Arabidopsis thaliana: one gene and its partner. The protein of the gene in region 2 interacts with the protein of the main gene of each other region in a pairwise test. Each region holds a gene or a part of one and is shown on either strand. Other genes may lie near its edges. The genes, in order: PUP8 and AT4G15470.

Region 1 (4,357 bases), 1.2 Mb from region 2:
CCATGAGAAAGAAGATTGTTTCTTGTTTTTATTGATTGGTTTTGTTTGAGATGTCGTGCAGATACACAAGAGGCCTTTCTTTAAACACACATTGATGGTATTACAAAAAAACATCTAAATACCCTACACAAGTTGCATTATCAAACATGGCAGGCTTTTAGTAAATCGTATTATATGGATGGGGCAGGCGATAGATGACAGTAGCAGTATCATTATTTAGTAGTCTCATGTTGACCGGTGACTTTTCTTATTTGCTTACACTTGACTTGTGGAATTCTTGAAACTTTTGAATGGCGGCTCTACGAGAATTTTTTTTATTTTCTCAGTGTCTACTGACGTTTAATCAGAAGTCAACAAAGATACAAGAATCCAAGCTCCTGGAGTATACGTTTTTGGTATTTTAAGGAGTCTTTTTACAAGGCACTGTTCAAGTCACTACATTGGTTATTTGTTATGTCAGTGGCTTCCAGGTAAGTGGGTATTATTTTTGTTCACTTGTTTCTTTTTTTTTGTTCAAAGCTCTGGTTTTCCAAGGATGCTTTAGCCTATTTGCCTCTCTGCTATCGATGTTTGCTCTTGTTTTTTGGTGATTCAAATGCATTGCAAAATGACAAAGCAGAGTATTGCATTTGCATCTTTAAGTTATGGGTATCTCCGGTATATAGAAGTAAAAAAGATCCGAACTATTGGTATCTTATGTACAAAACTTATCAGTTACTTATGATTGACTAGAGATACACGTTTTTATATCTATGCTCAAACTGTACAAAGATACATTGGCTTTACACTGGAAATATGTTTTGATCATACACTATGTATGTTTGTGTGACCTTCCTCAGCAGGTAGTAGATGAGGATCTCCTACAGGACTTGTGTGGCTAGTCTTCAACTTCTTTTCGTCGAGGTAGTGCTGATAGACAAATGAAATGAATCCCCAGATAGCTAAAATGATGGAGAAGATCTTTGACGCGTTCATTTTATCATGGAAAACAATCACTGCTACAACTGGAACTATAGGCAATCCCACAGCAGTTATGGAATTGGAGAACACAGAAGATGACTCAAAGATCAGTCCCACGACGCCAATGGTGTAGACTTGCCAGGAAATAGCTATCGAGGCCAAAGTCATAACGTATGGCACTTTCCCCAGTTTGTAGTTTTCCATCTCACTTGTTAAAGTTTTCCACTCCCCGCTTGCGAAAAGTCCTATGAGAACCACACAGCTTGCAACTAGAGATTGGTAAGCGACCAAGTCAGTGACCGTTGAGAATGTTTGCTTCTTTAAAACCTTCCTGAGGATCAGTTGTACCAGGGATAGCAGCAATCCAATCCCAGCAGAAGCACCAATGGTACATATTATCCCTATCACATATTTTACTCTAGACACTTTTGCTGTGTTTTCCGAATCAGTGTTGACCACGAGGAGGGCAGAGGAAATAGTAAGGAGAAACAGAGAATTCACAATGAAAGGTGTGAACTTCTGCGAGTTTAGAAAATATGAGAAGAAGGCAGTGAAGGCCAATTGTGAGGCCAAGATGAGGGAGAAAGTAGAAACTGGTAAGTATAGTAAACCAACAGAGGACATATAAGAGTTAGCAGACACTAATAGTCCAGTAACGATGTAAACTGATCCAAGAATGGTGAAGGAAGAGAACTTTCTGAAATCTGCTTCTGTTGGTTTGGGATTTTTGGTTTGGGAAAAGAAGCGGAAGAGAAACAGAACAGGGAAGCCGATTAGTTGGACAAGTGTTCCCATCCATGTACTCTTCCCACCATTTTCATAGTAAACTCTGCCCAAAATTGTAGAAAGTGCTTGGCAAGCAAGGACAAAGAACACGTAAATGGAAATACGAAGCCATTTCTTATAGTTCTTCGATTGAGGTACGGACGAAGATTCGATTTCCATGGTGGTATTCATTTCCTCCTGACCTGTTAGGTTTGCTTCTATGTTGTTATGATCTGAAAACATCAAAAACAACAGGTTAGCGAAAAGAATCAAGTAATCTACACTACGAGATGCATCTTGCTTACCATTGACATAGATTACTTGAGTTATTTCCATGACCACTCTAAGAGGACTTCCCACAAACAGAGTTTTGGTAAAGCTTTTATATATATGAAGGTTGGTGGGAACAAGTGCATCATATTTCTGTAAAGATGTTTACCGTTGACTTTGAATTATTGAAACCTTTTAATTGGCGGTTTTAAGAAAACTTCTTATACACAACGTTGTTAAAGTAGGCTGAGTTTGGTGAAAACAGATATATAGACGCTTGATATTGTTGTATCTTATTCTAATCTTATTGGCTCAAGTGTCCGTCCACTTGAAAAAAAAAAATTATTACTTGTTTTTGTTATGTTAGTAATCTATTTTGTGGATTTGGAAGTCAACAACGATACAACAAGACGGGAAGGCCATAAGTACACTTGACTTGGATTCAGAAGTCAACAAAGATACATGAAGACTGTGAGACCTTGAGACACTTACCAATTTTATTTGTAGTGCCTACAATATATATAACTCATTTTTATTTTAGATTAAACTGGTTCAAATTACAAAAGCTTTTGGTTTTCTTGGATCTTTGCCTAAGCTTGGACATGAATGGTATCTACTTGTTTTTGTTCTTCTTCTTCTTTAGACTGAGGAAGCTCTTGGTCTTCTTCTGGCTTTCTATCATTGACATAATGCTGATAACCATAAGAAACAAATCCCCAGATGGCCAAAAACATTGCAACCAACTTGATTCCACTCATCTCATCACGGAAGAAGACAACAGCAAGAACAGGCACAACTGGTAAACAAAGAGTGCTTATGACATTGGAAAAAAGCGATGAAACTTCGATAATCAAACCAACACTTCCAATCAAACAAGCTTGCCATGATATCGTTGAACCGATGTTTATCAAAATGTATGAGCTTTTCCCTAGTTGAAACTCTTCCATTTCTGTACTCAGCTTTTTCCACCCACCACTTCCAAAAAGTCCTACCACAACTACACAAGTAGCTACCATAGACGGATATGTGGCCATGTCTAAAATAGCCTTGAATGTGTATTTCTTTAGAATCTTTTCGAACGCGTAATCTGTTAAAGAAAGCACCAGAGAATAACCAGCTGAGCTACCGACCGCGCAGATGTATCCAATCACATACTTGGACTTGGCTGCGGACTTTGAAGTAGAAGAGGGAGATTCTGGTTCATGTTGGATAACAAGAAGTGTAGAAGATATGGTTAAGAGAACAAGTGAATTGAGTATAAATGGTGTGATTTTTTGTGAGTTTAGGAAGTAAGAGAAGACGGCGTTAAAAGCCAATTGCGACGCAGAGATCAAAGAGAAAGTTGAGACAGGAAGGTAAAGTAGCCCAAATGAGTACAAAATACAATGTCCAGCAACAAGCAAGCCAAGTCCAATATACACTAAAGATAGTGTCAAGAAGGAAGAAGTAGTTTTTTTGGTAATGGTTTTAGTCTTGGACGGCTCAGGCTTTAAGTAATAATAGCAAGGAAGGGTTAAAGGAAACCCTACAAGCTGAACCAAGGTTTCGAGCCATGTGCTTTTACCGCCTTTTTCGTAGTAAAGTCTACCTAAGAGAGTGGCTATTGTCTCTCCAGCTAAGAGGAGAGTGACATAGAGAGACACTCTTAACCTCCAAGAGTACTTGTGACTTCTCTCTTCTGTTGAAAATTTCCCTTCAGGTTCTACCATCAACACATGAAACAGAACAAGAACATAAGTAAAAGAAGAAGAACACAAGAATCTCTACGCCGGAATTTCTGTTACAATACTTACCGCCATTTACGTGAAGATGGAGTTCTTGAGTTTCTGATTCTAGTTCCATCATAGAAACCTGAAGGAGAAATATGTCAGGGAACAAATAAAGATGGTGTTGCTTACTTATATAACAGGCAAATGCGTATGCATATATTATTCTTTAATAAATAAAGTTAGTATTAGTTTACATTAAGATTTCAGTTTTTAAAATTATAAGTACTACATATATCGTTATAATTTGTCCTACTAACCATTTCCCGTGAATTGTTAAATGGCACTCTTGGAATGAATCATCTCCTCCATTTTTGTAGGATCCTATCTTTAAACGAACCAAATTTTATTACCAACCAGAATTTTCTTGCCATATTTTATATTTAGCCAAAACAAATCCTTAGGGTACTAGCAAGTTATCTATAGACAAAAGTATCAAACTTACCAACCAGTATTATCAACCGTTAAACACGAACCAAATTTAAATTTTTATTACCAACCAGTTTTTTCTTGTCATATTTCTTTTATTATTTAGCCAAAAATATTCCTTAGCGTAGTAGCACTTTATCTATAGACAACAAAAGTAGCAAACTTAA
Region 2 (4,958 bases):
ACCTTCTTCTTCTCCATGTCCGCCACCGCCTCCACCAGCATGGCCTCCTCCTTCAACAGCATGACCACCTCCTCCACTAGCATGGCCTCCTCCTACACTAGCATGACCACCTCCTCCACTAGCATGGCCTCCTCCTACACTAGCATGAGCACCTCCGACACTAACATGGACTCCACCTCCACCGTGAGCGCCTCCACCACCGCCTTTGGCAACCACGGTGGTACAATTGACTAAAAGTAAAGTGATAATTAGAAGGACGGCGAGTTTCGCTGCATAATTGGTAACAAAGTGTGCTCGAGTCTTCGTGATTTTCATGCTGGTAATATCAAACATACACCTTTATCAAAACAAACAAGTTCTATATCAAAATTCAAAACATAAACATATATGCGTAGTTGCGTACACTATCTTTGATTCTTAAATTGCTGTTTGCTACCTTAAAACGGAAAAGAGGAATTTGTTATCGTGGGGTGAGATGCTTTAGAAAAGCCTCTATTGTATATATGTGTAGGCAATATTCAAGATTTTTTTGATTCTTTTACTTTTTGTTGTGTTTAGGATAAGTTGTGAGTAATTCTAAAAAATACTCTTTGTATTTATTTTTCCTCAAAATATGGATTTAGATATTGTGTATAATTATCATTACCCTAATTAATGGAAAAGTAAGTTTCACAAAACCTTTGTAGGTTATCATTACCCTAATTAATTATCATTATATTTTTGTAGGTTATAAAATCCATAACAATTATTGTAGCATGTAGCAAAAATGAAAACGAAAAGCATGATATATCATTAGAAAAAAAATATAATTACCATATGCTGGAATTGGTATATTTAGAGTTTGATGGGAAAGTTTAACCTAATCAATTCGTCAATTCAAAATTCAATATAGATTACATTGGTGCTAAAGTTTTAACACGTGTTGCTTCATATATAACTTACTATGTTTAAGATGGTAAAAATTTATAATGTTTACAAACACATGCTTTCTCAATTATTCTATACTTCATAGACGAGACTAGCATTTTGAGATTAGACAAAAGTATCTTATTATATAAAATTTGGTTTCTTAAAGTTACGATTAGACGTGTTTTCCTATTTTTATTTGAATTGGATTTGATTATTTTTTTCATTATTTAATATATTTCTATTTTCACAAAAATTCCATGAAATGATTATTCTGTTTCTCTTTGAAATTAGTTTTTTTTTCACCAAAAAAGAAAAATTTGAAATTAGTTTACTTTTTAATATTAATCATATTTTCAAAATTTATTTATTTATTTCTTAAGTATGTTAACAATTTAACGATAAAGTCATATCATATCTACGACATAATTAAATAAAAATTGGAACTGCAACTAATACAAAACTTACCAAAATAATAAGAAAATGTGCATGCATGATTGCATGTGATGTGTGTATATAAAACACTATTTACTGGTGCGTTATTGTGAATCCATGTCCTAACTTTTATATTTTGTTTGTATAAATTTTTTAAATTTAATTTGTAAATTTTTGGAAATCTTATTATTTGGGTTTCAATAAAATTTTAACTTACTTTTTAAATTTGACTTTCATATATCTCATTGCTTTCCAATCAAAATTTGTCACATGTTTTTAGTTATTTGACGAAGAAAGAATTGATCGAGTATAACCCTAACCCAAATTGTTATTCATTTAATTTATTCTAACTGGTTTAAATGTTAAATAAATTATGGGATGAATTGTTTGGAATAATCCATGTTCATCAAATTTAAATTAATTGACCAATTTATACATAAATTTCTACTTCACAAATAAAAAAGAGTTAAATATGTCTACCCATGAACACAGAAATATGTTTCCTCAAAATAATTAACAGACTTTTTCTCTATTGGTCTTTCATATAAAGCTAACACTAACAGCGTTTTAGACATGAATAATACAACGCGTTATCGTAACAAATCATGTCCGTTCATGTTGCCACGTGTACATCATATTGTTAGATTAGAGGGAAATGACTCGTCGCCTTCGTCAACACAGAATATATAAATCTCAAAATTCTATAATTCGATATTTTTTCCCAGAATCAACCAGATCTGCTTTCGAAGACGAATCTAGCTATTAGCCATGGACAAACCGTACGGATACGCGAGCGTGAGCATGAGCGGCATAGATCGTTCCGCCGGAAAGGATATTGATCTTGAGATGGGAGTCGGAGAAGCGACGCTTTATCCTGGGCTAAGTTACGGCGAGAATCAGCTCCGATGGGGATTTATTCGTAAGGTCTATGGGATTCTCTCAGCTCAGCTTCTTCTTACGACGCTTATCTCCGCCGTCGTTGTTCTTAATCCTCCTGTTAACGATCTCTTGACCGGATCTCCTGGGATTCTTCTCTTCCTCTGCATCGTTCCCTTCATCTGTACGTAGATCTCGTTCTTTGGATAAGATTTTCATTTCATCTTCGTAGTTTTTCGTTGATTTGATCTGGTAATTAGGAATTCTTATGGTTAGGTCAACCTGATTCTGATTTGTGCATTTATGTCCCTTATGTTTATGCATTTCTTTTCCATTTCTCTTCATGGATTGAGTTTCTTCTCGTAACTAGATTTATATCCTTTACTGTGTTTATTATACATTTGATTGTTTAGGTATATATATGGAGGATGGATTGAACAATGTTTTATATGATGATTGACAGATTGATGCTTGGTGTGATGATATCTAGTGTGTTGGTGTTAGGATTCAGAATTGACTTTACTTGATCTTTCACTGAAACATAGAACAAAGAACAGACCAGAAACCTAAGGAGTAATTCTGGAGAATCCCTTACCCTCCTGAGCCCAAACCGACCAAAATCTTGACAACTCACAAATCTGTTATATTTCCTATTGATCCTTTTTCTTCCCTCTAACTATCTCGTCATGTAACAGCCTTGTTCTCTTTTTTCTATTGATCGTTTTTCTTTTGTCACCTTAGGGAGAATTTTCAGATAGCTTGTTCTCTATGAGTTTTGCTTTGTTGACCTCTCATTTGATGTTGGTTTACTTGCTTCAGTACTTAGTTTTGAATTTGTTAGTACTGAGTACCTTGATTTTGTGTTGCACAGTCGTACATCAGCTATTTATTTTATGTCATATTTGTTGACAAGATTTATTGCTCATGTGATTGATTACTGGGAGTTCAATTTTGTAGTAATCTGGCCTCTGCACATTTACCACCAGAAGCATCCTGTTAACCTGATCCTCCTTGCCCTCTTCACTGTTTCATTGAGTTTCACTGTTGGTGTCAGTTGTGCTATGACAGAAGGTTGTTATCTCGTTCCCTTTCATATCATCTGATTCTAACCAATAATATGTGATTTGGTTGCTGTTCCAGCCGCTTCTTAACTCACCTTATTGTCACAAAGAACAAAATTTGCCTGAAACTTGGAATAGCAAAGCCTGTAAAAGTTGTGTGTTTACTAACAATCTATTGTTCTTTCTTCTACGTGTTTTACCAGGACGAATTGTGCTACAAGCCTTGATATTGACTCTGTCTGTGGTCGGATCTCTAACCGCATACACTTTCTGGGCTGCAAAGAAGGGAAAAGACTTCAGCTTCCTTGGACCCATTCTCTTCACCAGCCTCATCATTCTTGTAGTGACCAGCTTCATCCAGGTTTGCCTCTCAGAATCCTCCCTCCTCACCTATATCACCAAACACCCAATAGTTCCACACATACATAAAACAAAGCCTTAAATTTGGTTTGCTGTCGTAATATTGCAGATGTTCTTCCCTCTTGGCCCGACTTCTGTTGCCGTATACGGAGGATTCAGTGCCTTGGTATTCTGCGGATACATAGTCTATGATACCGACAACCTCATCAAGCGTTTCACATATGACGAATACATCCTAGCATCAGTAGCTCTCTACTTGGACATCCTCAATCTCTTCTTGACCATATTGCGTATACTGAGGCAAGGCGACAACTGAAAGGCATAAAACGATGCTTCAGTGATGTGATCCAGTTTATAACTATAAGAGAATCCAAAAGCCTTTATGTGTGTATATCTGATTTCTGTTTGGAGAATTAAGTATATGATGCTATGTGGTTAAACGATTGATATAAACAAAATCAAGCAATGTCGATTTTCAACTTCAAATAAATTTGTTAATTTTGGCGGAATTTTGATGCCTTTTGTCGTATCCATTTCGATATTCTGATTGCTTAAGAGCAAAAGCAAACATTGATACCAAACGTTTGAAGATTTATTTACCATCATCGATAAATTGTTTTTACTTTGCTCTCCTTTTTTTTTAAACTCAACCATACACAAAAAAAGCGACCTCATCTTACCCACCGATCCGCCATTACAGACGAAGAAGAATTTCAACTGCAATCTCTCTCTGAACCATGAGAGGTCACGATCGGATTAACAATTGTTTGCCGGAGGAACTTATCCTCGAGATATTCCGGCGACTTGAATCGAAACCGAATCGCGACGCATGCTCCCTCGTCTGCAAGCGATGGTTATCTCTCGAGCGATTTAGCCGCACCACGCTTCGTATCGGCGCTTCGTTTTCTCCCGACGACTTCATCTCCCTCCTATCTCGTCGCTTTCTCTATATTACCTCTATCCATGTCGACGAACGTATCTCCGTCTCCCTTCCTTCCCTCTCTCCTTCCCCAGTATGTTTCTCTCATCGAAATTTTTCTGTTGAATTTGTGATCGGATCGAGCAGTTTTTGTGTAGTATCATGAATTCGATTGAAATGTTAAATTTTGTATCGATCTGGATTTGAGCTTAGTTGAGATTAGCGTTATTTGATTCTGAATTGTATTTGGATATTTGAGTTATGGTTTACACTTATCAATTATATTTGCAGAAAAGAAAACGTGGGAGGGACAGTTCGTCGCCATCGTCGAGTAAGCGGAAGAAATTGACTGATAAGACACATTCTGGAGCTGAGAACGTCGAGTCTTCCAGCTTGACTGA

The links.
Region 1: the proteins of AT4G15470 (region 2) and PUP8 interact in a protein complementation assay, tested with the Arabidopsis thaliana proteins (one large-scale study listed by BioGRID).

What each region holds. Positions count from the first base shown.
Region 1 is NC_003075.7:10,067,422-10,071,778, reverse strand, and holds PUP8 (purine permease 8), read right to left. Parts: upstream 2,322-4,357; 5' UTR 2,062-2,321; coding exon 2,031-2,061; intron 1,959-2,030; coding exon 805-1,958; 3' UTR 664-804; downstream 1-663. Other genes in the region: PUP7 (purine permease 7), read right to left, coding at 1-4; PUP6 (purine permease 6), read right to left, coding at 2,586-3,697, 3,789-3,840.
Region 2 is NC_003075.7:8,841,552-8,846,509, forward strand, and holds AT4G15470 (Bax inhibitor-1 family protein), read left to right. Parts: upstream 1-1,967; 5' UTR 1,968-2,109; coding exon 2,110-2,401; intron 2,402-3,174; coding exon 3,175-3,288; intron 3,289-3,481; coding exon 3,482-3,639; intron 3,640-3,747; coding exon 3,748-3,954; 3' UTR 3,955-4,259; downstream 4,260-4,958. Other genes in the region: AT4G15460 (glycine-rich protein), read right to left, coding at 1-333; AT4G15475 (F-box/RNI-like superfamily protein), read left to right, coding at 4,376-4,651, 4,849-4,958.